Linked DNA regions of Arabidopsis thaliana. The protein of the gene in region 3 interacts with the protein of the main gene of each other region in a pairwise test. Each region holds a gene or a part of one and is shown on either strand. Other genes may lie near its edges.

The links.
Region 1: the proteins of HB6 (region 3) and AT5G48240 interact in a two-hybrid assay, tested with the Arabidopsis thaliana proteins (one large-scale study listed by BioGRID).
Region 2: the proteins of HB6 (region 3) and AT2G28060 interact in a two-hybrid assay, tested with the Arabidopsis thaliana proteins (one large-scale study listed by BioGRID).

Annotation. Positions count from the first base shown.
Region 1 is NC_003076.8:19,557,066-19,561,815, reverse strand, and holds AT5G48240 (Rrp15p protein), read right to left. Parts: upstream 2,574-4,750; 5' UTR 2,516-2,573; coding exon 2,072-2,515; intron 1,991-2,071; coding exon 1,889-1,990; intron 1,805-1,888; coding exon 1,723-1,804; intron 1,616-1,722; coding exon 1,596-1,615; intron 1,512-1,595; coding exon 1,451-1,511; intron 1,361-1,450; coding exon 1,296-1,360; coding exon of another isoform or gene 1,225-1,295; coding exon 1,139-1,224; exon of another isoform or gene 1,044-1,138; coding exon 989-1,043; exon of another isoform or gene 914-988; coding exon 818-913; intron 723-817; coding exon 663-722; 3' UTR 541-662; downstream 1-540. Other genes in the region: BBX8 (B-box type zinc finger protein with CCT domain-containing protein), read left to right, coding at 1-97.
Region 2 is NC_003071.7:11,949,331-11,954,401, forward strand, and holds AT2G28060 (5'-AMP-activated protein kinase beta-2 subunit protein), read right to left. Parts: upstream 2,924-5,071; 5' UTR 2,713-2,923; exon of another isoform or gene 2,448-2,712; 5' UTR 2,366-2,447; intron 1,314-2,365; 5' UTR 1,289-1,313; coding exon 1,262-1,288; intron 1,162-1,261; coding exon 844-1,161; 3' UTR 541-843; downstream 1-540. UniProt on the Arabidopsis thaliana protein: Regulatory subunit of the probable trimeric SNF1-related protein kinase (SnRK) complex, which may play a role in a signal transduction cascade regulating gene expression and carbohydrate metabolism in higher plants.
Region 3 is NC_003071.7:9,525,368-9,530,091, reverse strand, and holds HB6 (homeobox protein 6), read left to right. Parts: upstream 1-2,246; 5' UTR 2,247-2,479; coding exon 2,480-2,549; intron 2,550-2,628; coding exon 2,629-3,008; intron 3,009-3,136; coding exon 3,137-3,622; 3' UTR 3,623-4,104; downstream 4,105-4,724. Other genes in the region: AT2G22440 (non-LTR retroelement reverse transcriptase), read right to left, coding at 175-620, 858-1,182. UniProt on the Arabidopsis thaliana protein: Transcription activator that may act as growth regulators in response to water deficit. Interacts with the core sequence 5'-CAATTATTA-3' of promoters in response to ABA and in an ABI1-dependent manner.

The DNA.
Region 1 (4,750 bases), on a different chromosome or scaffold from region 3:
AGAAAGGGCTGATGTGAGACGGCGTGTGAAAGGACGGTTTGTCAAGTCCGGTGAAGCTTATGATTACGACCCGATGAGCCCAACAAGAAGCTACTGAGGATAAAACCTCAAAACAATGAAAGATCACAAAGTGGAGATATAAGACAGAGATGCAACTAATTGGCAGCGATGGATCTGGAAGCCATTATTGGTTGAAAAGGAACACGAGTTCTCCGCCTCAAAAGCGTCATACTTGCTTAGAAAGGCGCATGCTTCTGCAGTTCTGCCTCATTTTTTGCATAAAGTTTGTTATCTTCTTCTGTCATTTGGCATCATGACTTGACTGTGAAACTAGAAACTCTTCTACAGATTCAGGTTCATGATCCTTAAATTTTGTCCTATTATAATTTGTGTAGCCAAGGCAAAACAACGAATGTATATTTTTTTTACGTCATATAAATAATAACCATGTAGAAGTTTGGAGTATCATCACTTCTATATTTACGGTATTGGTTAATGATACTAACAAGTGTATTTTCTAAAAGCGTAACCACAAGAATCACAACCTTTCAGGATCCTTTTGCACTATCAAAAAACTGAATTCATTCATATTGATCAGACAAAATTTGCATGATACAAAGGCAAAATTAAAGTTTGCTCGTTTAACTACTAGTTTAAACTCTTCAGTCTTCATAACTTTCATCTCCTGACAAACCGGCAAAATCATCTCCCTCGCTTGTTTCCTGCGGACAATTCAATTTTAAGTTTCAGATCAAAGAGTATAAATCAGTATGCAAGCTATGTGATTCCAGATTTGTGGATAAGAATGAAGAGATACCTGTTTCTTGTCCCAGTCCTTCAGTTTTGGGTTTGCTAACATGTAATTATCTCGTAGAGGAGCCCAAACAGGAGCTTCGTCTTCAGATTTGTGAGCCTGCACCATCCAACAGAATATCACTAGTTAACTAACCAACAATACTTTAGACTTATAACTAACGGCTCTCGCTACTGAAGGTGATCCTTTCTCTATAGAAGCCAGCTCAAGACAGAATACTAACTTGCTTCTATGTTCATCCAAAGTTGAAGGCTTTAAGAACATTCAAAATTGTTACTAGTAATTTACTAAGAATACTTCTGATTTATAACTAACATCTATCACTCACTCATGAGGTGATTCTTTTCGTGACTCTCTATAGGAGCTAGATCAAGACAGAATACTAACTTGTTTCTACGTGCATCAAACGGCTAAGGAATAAACTCTCAAGATAAATCATAATGAAAGAGAGAGAGTAAGAGATATGGAGACTATGCCAAACCTTGGTGTCTGTTTTTGTTTTCCCTAACTCAGACAAGAATGCTTCTTTTCTTCGCTTCTTCAGCACTGATGGATGTTCCAATAGGATAAAAAACGAGAATTAGAAGATAAGAACAAGACAGTGGATTCATGCCAACGATCAATTTCTAAGCCTACCTTTAGCGTCTTTAGACCTTGAAGGATTCAAACCCTTCTGAGCATGTTGAGCCTTGTTGACCTATTTGAAAAACATAAACTAAGAATCATACGAATCACTACCGGAGAATAAAAACCTCAAAAATAGACATAGAAACAAACTTACAGCATTGAAAAGCTTGACCACTGTGATACCACAAGTTCATGGAGAGGAAAAAAAGAGTCAATACTAAAACAAAAAAAAAAAACCAAACAATCTCAAGAAACAGAGAGTTTAACCAAAGCAACAATACCTCCTTTAGTAGCAACACCAATAAGAATCTTTTCATGAGAATCCAAATAACTTCCAGGTTTAACATGTCCCTTCTCAGCAATCTTAAAAAAGCAATTGTTAAGATAAATCATCATCTAAAACACAAGAACACAAACGAATAGTGAACACAACAACCAAACTCATACCAAATGTTTAGCCTTTCTAGCTTGACCTTTAGCTTTCTTTTCAGCTTCATCTTCAGCTAGCTTCTCTCCAATAAGATGCTTATGTGCTGATAAAACTGGGCCCTATTACACACAACACCAACACAGTTCAACACTATATTCCCAAATCAAAACTCAAAACTAGAATCTGCTATAAAATCTCACCAATGTATCATCTCCTTTAGTCTTCTTCATAATAGCTTTAAAAGCGATTTTGAAAGCATTACATCCATCAGTAGCAAACTTAGTGATTCCAGATTCAATCTCTCCATGATCTTCACCATCTGAATTCTCATCATTATCTTCTTCTCCAATCTCTTCGTAATTTGGTCCCATGTTAGCATCAGAGAAGATCTTCTCACGAATTGTTACTTCTGGTTGTTTCTTCGATTCATCATCTTCTTCTTCATCGTCATCGGAATTGTAATCTCGTGCTCTCTTCTGAAATAGCTTTTGATTCTTCATTGTAACCTTAAACCTATCGGAAGTAGAAGGTTTTGATTTTTGCTTTTTGTTCCTCGCCGCTTTAGTACCTTTCTTAACGCCGACTCTTCTCTTTCTAGAGCCTCTATCTGCCATCGCCATGTGACCTTCTTCTCCGGTAGACATGGCTTCGTCGAGAACTTTGGGTTATCACGGCGGCGAGAGTTTGGGGGAGAAGAGACGAGAGATAGGGTTTTGTTATTGCTTTCTTTAAACCTTGCTATAAGGGAAAATGTTTTCGGATTCTGATTTCCGGTTAAGGTCAGGTTTGTAAGTTGGATTTGGGTTCGAATTTGAGATTTCGGTTTAGGTCGGGTTTTGTCGTTTTGATTTCTATTGATAAATAATGGTTTCCACATGGTTAGCGACTTAGCGTCGGATATAAGATTTGGCCGCGTAATCGGTTCTTGACCAAACTACGAGGCTTGAATGGTTCAAATGCAGACTGCTGAAATTTATGGAAACGGAGAGTTGCGGTTTTAAGAGTTATCATATATTTTAAATGATTGATTTAGCGGTTAAATTTTACGTTTGTTGAAGTTTTATAGTTGGTTAACTAGCATGTGCGATAACGGTAAATACAAAATACCAAAATAATATAATTTATAATTTTAGAAAACTGAAAAACACCAAATTTTTATATTATTATGATTTAATGTTAAAATTTTAAATATAACTAATGATAAAACCATTTTGAGGATCTCAAGCTTGATAAAAAAATTGTCATGAATGAATATGTGTCAATTGATGAAATTTATAATAAAATATTATATTTTTTTACAAAATATAACTAATAAAAAAAAGTATTACATAATTATTCAAAAACAAGTAAATTTCATATTGAAATGTTTATTCATCAATTTGATTCATCACCAAAAAATGTATCATGTAATATGATATACTTCAAACAAATATGTTTGAATAGTAGATATTTCAGATTAACAATATTAGTACAATATTTATATTTGTATCTCGCCTTTTAACAGTTTGATTGACGTCATGATTTTGATGGAAAAATAAGAATTTAGAGTTATGAGAATTAACGTTAACATATAGGGTACAATAAAAAGAATCAGTTTTTACAGTTTTGAGAATTCACGTTACAATTTTTAGAATTTTCAGCGACCTTTAGTTATTAAAAGTATGTTTACTTGCTTTCTTAAATACTTAGGTAAACGTAATGAAAAGAAAAATTATATTTATTCTTTACACAGAATCATATGTAATTTCAGTTCTGTTATGAAGCAAGTTTTTAACCTTTGTGTATGTTCTTCTACGCACATCATACTTGTTCTTGAATTGTTTATCCCATGAATATCTCTTCCCAAATTTTTCTTCAAACTATCTCATGATGGACTCTTTTCCAGTTATATTTAATCTCGTCTTTCTTCTATTCCCTTTTTCCTCAGCAGTACAAAGTTGAAGAAAATATCAACACTCTTCGTCCGACCAATTCTAAATTCAGGAAAAAACATCCAATTCTCAATCATACAATTCTATAACATTAGAAAAAAAAAAGAAACTTACATCATCGTTGTTCATCTTATCAAGTAAGTGACAATCTTAGAGGAAGTAGCAAGTAAGGAACTGTCAATTGCCACTGAAAAAACGAAGAAAGAATGTATGTCAACACAAACTTGTTCCTTTACACTAAGAAACTAACACAAATGTCAACACAAATCTAAATGAAAACAAGAGGATTTGATCTTATTTCTCGTTTGGGTGCAAATTGAAAGTTTAATAAGCGACACAAAAGCAATACAACATGCATCCCTTTGATAAGATTTTAGAAACAACACTTCAGTTCCAGCTCCCAAAATCTGAACAAAATGATTGTGATTTTATACAAAAGTGCTTCAAAGAATTCAAAGTTGTGAAAGGAATAGAACAAAAGAATCCTGATAAAAAGAATAAGTTTTTAATAACTATTTAATCTATTTCGAGATAGAAAATTTGTCTCATCCTGTTCGCTAAGTTTGCGTTTATTTGTTGAACTCAGGTCAAAATTGGGGTTTAAATCAAGTTTGGATAAGGAATTATCGAACAAAAAATAAAAGTGGAATAAAAATCTTTGTCAAACAAACTACAATTAGTAGAGCAACCCAATCATTGTTATAGAAATAGCTCATTAACCCATGTGTTTAGGTTTCCATCAAAACAGATTCATAATTTGTGTGATAAGAAGAAGAGAAGTATTTTTAGGAGTTGCCTCTCGTAGAAGTCTCTTTTTTTTTTTTTTTTGGTGAGATCAATCAAGGAACCACTTTAATCTTGATGACAATCCCAATATTTTATTCTTTTCTATTTCTTGCACAATAAAACTTAACTAACTATCTTATTTTCAATTTTAGATTTTTATGT
Region 2 (5,071 bases), 2.4 Mb from region 3:
TAATATCCAGAACCCATTTTTTAATCAATTTTGTGCAAATAAGCTCCCATGCACAAACCAACTTTGTTTTTATATACTCCCTCTGTTACTGAATATTTGTAGTTTAAAGTTTTTGCACACAAATTAAGAAAACATACAAATTTTATTTAATTTATCTTTTTCCTATAAAAACATCATTAATTACAACTAATCCAACCAGTAAAAAAATATAATTAATTAAAAATTATTAAATACATTTAATGTTTGCATAGAAAAGTGAAAACAACACTTATATTAAAAAAAAATAAAAAACCTTAAAACTACACTTAATTAAAAACAACGAGAGTATAAGTGATCTACATTCAAACCGAACTAATGCAATGATCCGACGATCCAATCCAGTTTTAGACTAATGCATTGATCCGACGATCCAATCCAGTTTTAGAGCATTAGTTTGGTAACTTATCTCGGACATAGAAAGTTTTGATTAAGATTTTTTTTTTTTTTTTTCCTTTTTGGAGCTACGAAAGATTTAAATAATTTATGGTAACACTACATATGAGCAAGTAAAGAACTTCATTAGCGATATTTGGGCTCGTTTAACTAAACCCAATCTAAGGGAGTTATTACAAACAAACAATGCCCACGTCTATCAGCTTTTTTGGGCCTAAAAAATAAAAATGCATGGAGATTTTATATAAACTCCGAACAAGAAGATGATTTCAATCGAATGTACCTAGAAACCGTCTAAATCGAATCTGTAAGAGAAGAATAAAATTCAGTACGGACCAGATGGTTTTGTATACCAAATTCAATCCATAAAGAAGCAAATTCCCAACACTACTTAAAAAGAGGTATCATTATTCAAACATTGGCGCTCCCTCTTCTTTGGACAGGCTTGTATATCACCACAGTGACAAACTTAGTCCTGAACCGATGCGAGAAACCGAGTGCTACAACAGATCTTGGGGCGTCTCGGTTCTCGATATAGAGGTGGTTCAGGACAACATTCTGTGGCGCATAAGCCAGTTCCATGCTACCCTGATTGCCTAATAGAGAGTGTTGAAGGTGTGGCGGTACTGCTGGAGGATCTCTTGTCTCATCTTCGGTTGAGGAATACACATTGTTGTAACTTGAAACCGGTGATACAGGTACTTCAAATCCCACAACCGTTGTGTCCTCCTATGTTTAAGAAAACGATAAAAGATTGAAAAATCGAGCGGGAGACTGGAAATTACTCGATTAGTTGGTTGAAGGCAAAAAGGTGTTTTAGCTGGCTTACATGATCATCAGGATTTTGACTGTTCATCTTGGATAAGATTGCCACCTAGTGCCTGAAACAAAATATAATCATAACTAAACCGCAATAGCATGCAAAGTAAACAATCAAAATGAATGTAGGTCACACCAGCTCAAGTGCCATTCAAACTAATCTAAGAGAAAGAGGTGTTTACATTTCAACTCAAAAACACTGAAGCAGAAATGAAAACAATGTTGTTCTCTACAATGATGCAAACTCTTATTTGTGTGAAATGTAAGACTTTTGTCTAATCGGTATCAAAAGTCAAATAATTCATAATCCCGTAGACAAATCTAAGGATCCAAAGATGCAGACAGTCTTAAGAAAGTTGGACCAGAGAATCATATTTTCCCATGCCTTCTTCGAAGAAAGTACTAAGGTGGACAAAGGATTCAAAAATCAATGGACCACAGGAGTTAGAATAGAAACACATTGATCATTATCACAACAGAGACAAGTTGGAAGACATAAACTACATTGTTATTATCATGTACATCCAAATTCCACAGCTAATTCTTCTCTATGTACACTGAACAGATAATATATAGGATTTAACCATTTATTATATGAACTCTTTGCACAGTTTTATCTCATCTAAAGACCCTTTAAACCTATTACACACCATAGGAACCATATCTCAGCTAAAGACCCTTTAAACCTATAAGAAAACCGCATCATGCCTACATCGAAAATCTATCAAGCTTCAAGATTCCAAACACTTCCAAGACAGAACCATGAAGAATTTCCTTGCACGAGAAACTAATCCCCACGAAGTTATTCGGCTAACCAAATTCCATGTTCAGAATAAAATTTGTAAAGTCCTCCTATCAAGTGATGATGAAGAAACCAGGCACTTAAATGCTTAAAGAGAATCCAATATTTGAGGTCTAAATCCTATACACACAGAACAAAATTCCCACAAATCAACTGGAGATATCAATGAAAGAACTGTACTCACCCAATCTGATGAACACACATACACACTTATCAACCAAACTGGAACAACTTTAAAACACAACTACTAAGCTTAAAAATACATAACAATGAACACAATATCAGAAGCCAAACTGGAGTTAAAATTCTCACCTTTGGGAAGCTAAGCCCTTCAAATTACCCTTTCAAAAACGTAGCAGCAATGAAAGTCTACACAAATCCTTAAAACAAAAACCTGCAAAATCATCAGTAAATGACCCATCAAATGATAAATAACACCCACCTAATAGAAAACCCTAGAAATCACCGGAAAATCAAAATTGAGGAATCAGTCGCATAAAAAATGAAATTTTGAATCATGGGTATTCGATTTTACTTCGATATCAATGCAAATTTCGTATAAAATCAGACGGAAATTGGAAGAACGAAGGAGACGAAACGAAATTGAGAAAGGCAGAGAAAGAGAAAAAAAGAGAGGGTTTACTCTGTTTTTACTTAACCTAGAATATGATTAGCTCAATGATTGATTGATTAATTTTAGACAGCTTCGAGAGAGAAGATTGGGTTCGTCCTGGAGATTCTTGACGAACACAGTCGCGACAAGCATCAGCTTTTGTTTTGCTTATTGGCTTAAACTTTGCTGTCCTTCGAAAACATTTTCTTTCCTCAGAAAACATTTTTTTTCTTCTTATGGAAACTATTTTACTCATTAACTTTCTTTTTAGTTTCCAAAATAAATAATTGACAAATAAGGATGTGTGATTGGTGGTTTGCTTTTGTTCGACTCTAGTGTTCGCTAGACATGCTGTTTTTCCTCTGAATATGTGAAGATTTCTTTGATTCTATGCGATTCGATCTTTTACCTTTTTTCGTCTCTTAAGAATGGTGTTATCGAGACTAAATCTTCACTCCTTGTCTATGCTTCTCAGACTTGATCGAGGTCTGGTCCTTTCATGAAACTTCTATTTATTTGACATTTTTAAGACAAATATAGATTGATGTTCATTGAGCTTATTATATAAAGATAGAAATGCAATAGTTCTAGTGAGCTTTATTGAAATGTAAAGAAGAGAAAAATGTAAAGGAGCTTAAGGTTTGTCACCAAAAGCCAATGTTTCTAGATTTGATATTTCATAAGATGAAGGAAGAGAGTTCTCTCAAAGTTACAATCATAGTTCTCATTACATAATTGTTTATATGAATCTTCTAACTTGTTAAAATTCTACTTATGTAGACCTCACATTGGGTTTGGACTTGTTTTAGTTGTGGACTCTAATACTCCCCTGCAAACTTAGCAGCGAGTATGAAAACAATGATGATAAATTTGTTTTAGTTGATCGAAGAGCTTAATTTTCAGTCCATGATCCAATGAAGGCACATAATCTTAATGTTTATTGTTTCTTGTCGATTTATGACATCACCACATACGAAAGAAAGTTTGGGCAGTGGTTATCAGGTTATAAAGCTTAAAAATTCTGAAATCTGAAGGTTGTTGTTCATCTCAATAGGAGGACTTGTGTATCGTTGGTTGGTGGTGGGCATCCGCGATACTTTTCTTTCAAATAATCTTCAAGAACTATGCGACTTATAGTTTTGGTGGGATTTCAACTACTATTGCTTTTTTCCTCTTGCTTTGTAGTATTATTTATGACTTTTTTACTTAGGGCTTAAACTTCGAAAAAATCTCGTTTTCTTTCGGTTTAATGTTGTATTTTATCAAGTATTTCATCATGGTAACATTAAAATAACTCTAGATGACAAAAAAAAAACAAATTAAAGAGACTCCAACTTAATTTCCCTATTTTCTTAGTTTTTTTTTTCTGTTTTTTAGTTCTTCTTTGTATTTTTTTTTTTTTAAATTTCAATACATATGAGATTACTCTATGGTTTGGAAAACCGCATGGTACCTAAATCCTACAACAATGGATTCCTTTTCCTTAGGTATGTTTTCGTATATGTATTTATCAATCGAAGATTTGTATGGTTTAATGAAATATTTATCGTGTTTTTGTTATCCAAAAGAAAGCAAAATCCAATAGTCCCGAAAACCCATGCAACCGTGTACATAATAATATATATATTTAAAAATCCATGTCCAATCTCCAAACCATTTTAAAACAAGAGAAACAATAGTTTGAAAATATAGAAAATTGCGTGTGAGTGTGTCATAATTCATAAATGCAAAGACAAATGTTTGATCTTTGATTGTAATTTCTGAAACTCACGGACTTTCCTACCTCTTTCTGATCTTCCCGACCCCATCAACACTTTTTTGTATCTCTATCACACATATAAAATCGTATTTTGATTAATACCATTTTCCAGCCATTTTGCCTCTGTCCTCTCCTACTTACTCTTCTCTCTTATGTTTCCAGCCATCACTCACGAGCCCATTTATGAACTTTAACCCTAAACCAGTGTATATCTCCTCCCACTTATATATCCCTCACATTATCATTCCAAACTCTCTCAAAAAAACAAAAATAATTACTTCAAACTAAAACCCAATGTTCAACACAAGAGTTCATATTGTCATTATCACTCTAAACCTTTTATTCTTGTACGCTGGAGGGAGACTAATACCACTGGAGAGTGTTCCAAGCTCGTCGATGATGCCTTTATCAGTCGAAGACACGGTCAAATTGAATCCGAGGAATCAGATTTTTCATGGGACACAAGTAAAGAGTTGTATGCCTAAAGGGTTCCGACCAAGATCCGCTCCGAGCCGGTTTGTAAATTATCAGCCTCTTGTTTCCATTAAGTGTTCCTCATCTAAAGTTACCTCCCGGTCCAAGATATCGCCTTGATTATTTTCTCTTCTATTTTGAGAATTTAATTATACAAATAAGACTGATGTGT
Region 3 (4,724 bases):
AGAAAGAAATCTAATACGAAAAGAAGGGAAAAAACAAACTAAAGAACGATATGAAGCCAATTCCGCTGCAAAAGTCAGCCAATCGTCTTGGTTATCAAGGATAGCAATCAAGTCTGAGCAATCCGAAGCAAAAGTACCAGAAGTATCACCAATAGAGATCATGCACTCCATTGCCTATAACAAAGAGTTAAATTCCGCATGAAGCGGTGATAAATTTCGACGAGTGCTCTTAAGGCCAAGGTGGATGACCAAGTCTTGTCGAACAAGTACCCAACCATGCCCGCTCAATGTGTCATCTACATGCCATGATGCATCGAGTTGACATTCAGGGAGCAAGGTGGACGGGGTCTGAGAAGAACCTACGAACACGATTGGACGAGTGGAATCATCCTCTTTTAGAGTTGCTTGTTTCCAAACAGCTGTCTCTTGAAGTGCCAAAACCAAAGTTTCAGGGGGAGGTTCCCTGAAGTTCTCAAAAACAAAACGATTTTTACTTTTCCAGATATACCAAATTATCCATGGAAAGAGTTCCAACACCTTTTCTCCAATTCCAAATTCTCGGTCACGCCAAAAAAGGAAGTCGAAATTATAGAAGAGAGAGTTTCTAGGGAAAATATTCCCTGAGGTAGGAATAGGCGATAAAGCCCAAATCTGTCTCGAAGGTGGACAATGAAACAATAGATGGTTGATTGTCTCTTCTACTTCTTCGCAACGGGGACAACCTTTATCTGTACCCATATGGCGATATGTCAATCTTTGACAAGTGGCTAAACAACCCGAGATACATTGCCACACGAAATGCATAAGCTTCCGCGTAGTTTTAAGCTTTCATACTTGTGCCTGAAGTGCCGAAACACCTGGTCCCTGAAAAGGGGGGTCACAAGTAGGACGAGAAAGATCTCTCGCGACCCAATATCCTGACTTAACAGTATAATTACCGGATTTAGTGTGAGACCAGCTAAAGCCATCACTCAAGTAGGTACGACTTGGGCGAATCCCTAAAATGAGTGGAATATCAACGGGATCGATCAGTGCTTGGAGACGGTCCAATTTCCACAAATTTGTGTTTTGGTCAATTAAATCATTGACATAGAGTAGAGAATCTCTTATGTTAAGAATGCTCTTTGCAGGCCGCGCTAGGATAGTGGGAATCCATGGATCTTTCCATACGCGAGTCAGCATTCCAGAACCTATGGTCCTCCGAAATCCAAAGACAAGAAGAGGTTTGGCGCATTTTCACCTCTAAAATAAACACAATTTCATGTTGATATTAAGGTTGTTAGTTTCGATCCAAAAGAATTATTTTGACTATAGTTAAGATGATGTTATACCTAAAAAATATAATTTACATTTTATAAAGAAAACAAACTAATTATATTATCAATGGATGATACCGGATATAGGAACTTATAAGGTGAAAAAAATCAAAGAACCAAAAACCCAAAAACTTTCCAAATATATAAGAGAATATAAATATGTTTTGGAGAATCAAAAGAACCTAACCCAAATAAAAAGAAAGCAAAAAACTCACTCTTGTTGCTGTCATCGAGGCCCAACAGCTCTTGTCTCATTTTTGCATTGCCACGAAAGTCATCACCCTATAACTTTAATTTATAAATTTTTTAATGGGTTAGAGAAAATAAAAAACGCATATAATCCAATTATTACAACTTTAACAAATTAAAGAAGACATGATGATTAGATTACCATGCGAATAAGACAAACATATTTTGTAAAATGTTGTCAAAAAAATATCTCTAAAGCATTCATGATTTTAGCATTTAACAAAATAATTCTGATAACCAATTTTGTTACACACTACTATAAAACTTCTAAACACAATATTGTGATGTTATAATAACTTTTACATGGTGAATAGACAATTTCAAAAGATTAATAAAAAGAAAACTCGATTATTCAATTTTTAAAAATAGATTATTAATTTAACACAGAGATTCCTTTCCACGTATAGCTTGAGTGGAGCTGAGCCGATTAGTATAAGCCGAGCCATATTATATCCGTTTGAGATTAATTTTATTTTAATTGATTTTTTAATCTTCTCTTACACGAGTTCCAGTGATACCGGAAGAAACCTGGAGGTAACTGGGTATAGCCGGTGGACCCCCTCAAATTTATTTTAACAAAAAAAAAAAAATCATTTACAAAAGAAAACACCCAAGACAATATCTACTTAACCATGGTTACTTTCTAACCCAACCTTTGAGTTTATTTAAACTGAGAGAAAGTGTGAAACCAAGCTTGTTCATATGGAAAACGCTCATCAACCTCAACAATCTCTCTCCTCTCTCTCTCTGTATATAGAAGAATCTCCATTGTCTTTAATTTCTCTCCATTTCTCTTTCTCTCTTCCTTCAAAGTTTTCTCTTTTCTTGATGGGTTTAAGAGAGTAAAGATCATCAAGTACTATGCATTAAATTGAGAAGTTATTAAAAATTTCGAAAGTAATTAAAGATTGTTGATGATGAAGAGATTAAGTAGTTCAGATTCAGTGGGTGGTCTCATCTCTTTATGTCCTACAACTTCCACAGGTACTTAGCTAATTTTCTAAACAAGTCCTTTAATTAATCTCATCTTTGTTTGCTAATTGTTCTTCTTATGGAATTACAGATGAGCAGAGTCCGAGGAGATACGGTGGGAGAGAGTTTCAGTCGATGCTTGAAGGATACGAGGAAGAAGAAGAAGCTATAGTAGAAGAAAGAGGACACGTGGGCTTGTCGGAGAAGAAGAGAAGGTTAAGCATTAACCAAGTTAAAGCTTTGGAGAAGAATTTTGAGTTAGAGAATAAGCTTGAGCCTGAGAGGAAAGTTAAGTTAGCTCAAGAACTTGGTCTTCAACCTCGTCAAGTTGCTGTTTGGTTTCAAAACCGTCGTGCTCGGTGGAAGACAAAACAGCTTGAGAAAGATTACGGTGTTCTTAAAACCCAGTACGATTCTCTCCGTCATAACTTTGATTCCCTCCGCCGTGACAATGAATCTCTCCTTCAAGAGGTATAAAAATTCAACCTTTTTGATAAAAGATTGAAACTTTTGTTGATTCAAAGTTAAAAAAATTGAAACTTTTTACCAATCTTGAGATTTACAAGAGAATTGAAACTTATGGTTTTGGTTTGATGCAGATTAGTAAACTGAAAACGAAGCTTAATGGAGGAGGAGGAGAAGAAGAAGAAGAAGAGAACAACGCGGCGGTGACAACGGAGAGTGATATTTCGGTCAAGGAGGAAGAAGTTTCGTTGCCGGAGAAGATTACAGAGGCACCGTCGTCTCCTCCACAGTTTCTTGAACATTCTGATGGTCTTAATTACCGGAGTTTCACAGATCTACGTGATCTTCTTCCATTAAAGGCGGCGGCTTCTTCATTCGCCGCCGCAGCTGGATCTTCAGACAGTAGCGATTCAAGCGCTCTGCTGAATGAAGAAAGCAGCTCTAATGTCACTGTGGCGGCTCCGGTGACGGTTCCAGGAGGTAATTTCTTCCAGTTTGTGAAAATGGAGCAGACGGAGGATCATGAGGACTTTCTGAGTGGAGAAGAAGCTTGTGAATTCTTTTCCGATGAACAACCGCCGTCTCTACACTGGTACTCCACCGTTGATCATTGGAATTGAAGCTGAAAACACCACCGGAAGAGATTTTGGATTGGATTAGATGCTCTTTTCTTCTCTGTGGAAAAAACAGAGGAGGGCAAAATGGGAATAAAGTTAAAATTGAAGGGTGAAAGGGCAATTAAGGAAGGGTTAAGTCTGGGCGGGAATAATGATTTAGGGTGAATTTGTAATTATGCTTTTTCTCTAGTGATTTTCGTGCACTTCTTGTAATTAAGGATCATCAGATCAAAGAGAAATTGAGAAGGGGTTAACATGTCAAAGGCAAAAATTCAGCATGGGCTCTTTAAATTACAATTGACCCTTGAAACCTAAATTATACCACTTCTGACCCTTAAATCAATTTTTGAATCATAAAACTACAGTGTGACTTCGTGTATTTAGTTCTAGTGTATTATGGGATTTTTTTCAAAGAGAATGCACCTCAAAGTCTCAGCTTTAAGTCTAATGTTTGGGTAAAAAACACACCGAACTTCAGATCCAAAACCTCTTGATAGAAAAAACAAAATAGATGTGTTATACACTTTTTTTTTTTTTTTGAATCTGTTAAATATACTTTTAGTGTAGTTTGTTTTGTGATTTGAATTAAAACTTTAGTATAAATCAATTTATTACATTTTCGATTACCGGAAAGTATTCATGTCATTAAGGTTTATTTAGTTCAAACTAATTTTTTTATTTCATTCTGTCTTATTTGACCTATAAAATCTAATTTAGCTTAAAAAGGTATTGTCATGTACCACTAATTTATAATTACTAACTTATATACTTTAATTAGTGATATAAGGTGAAACTTAGCAGTAATGACAACAAATAAAAGATGAAGATATATACTTAAAGGCGGTAAAAGATGATAATAAGAATCCGACCAAAAAAAAGATGTGATAAATAAAAAATAGATTGTACAATAAGTTTTAATAATATTTTAAATAATCATAAAATAAAAAGAAATTTGTTTTAATATTTTCTTACCAAAACCTCAACATAATATAGTAAAAAGCCAATAATACAAGACTTTGTACCGTCAGTTTTTTTATGATTTATAAGACCTAGATTTATAATATAATTCAATACCACTGTTATTTACTATAGCTTTGATTGATAA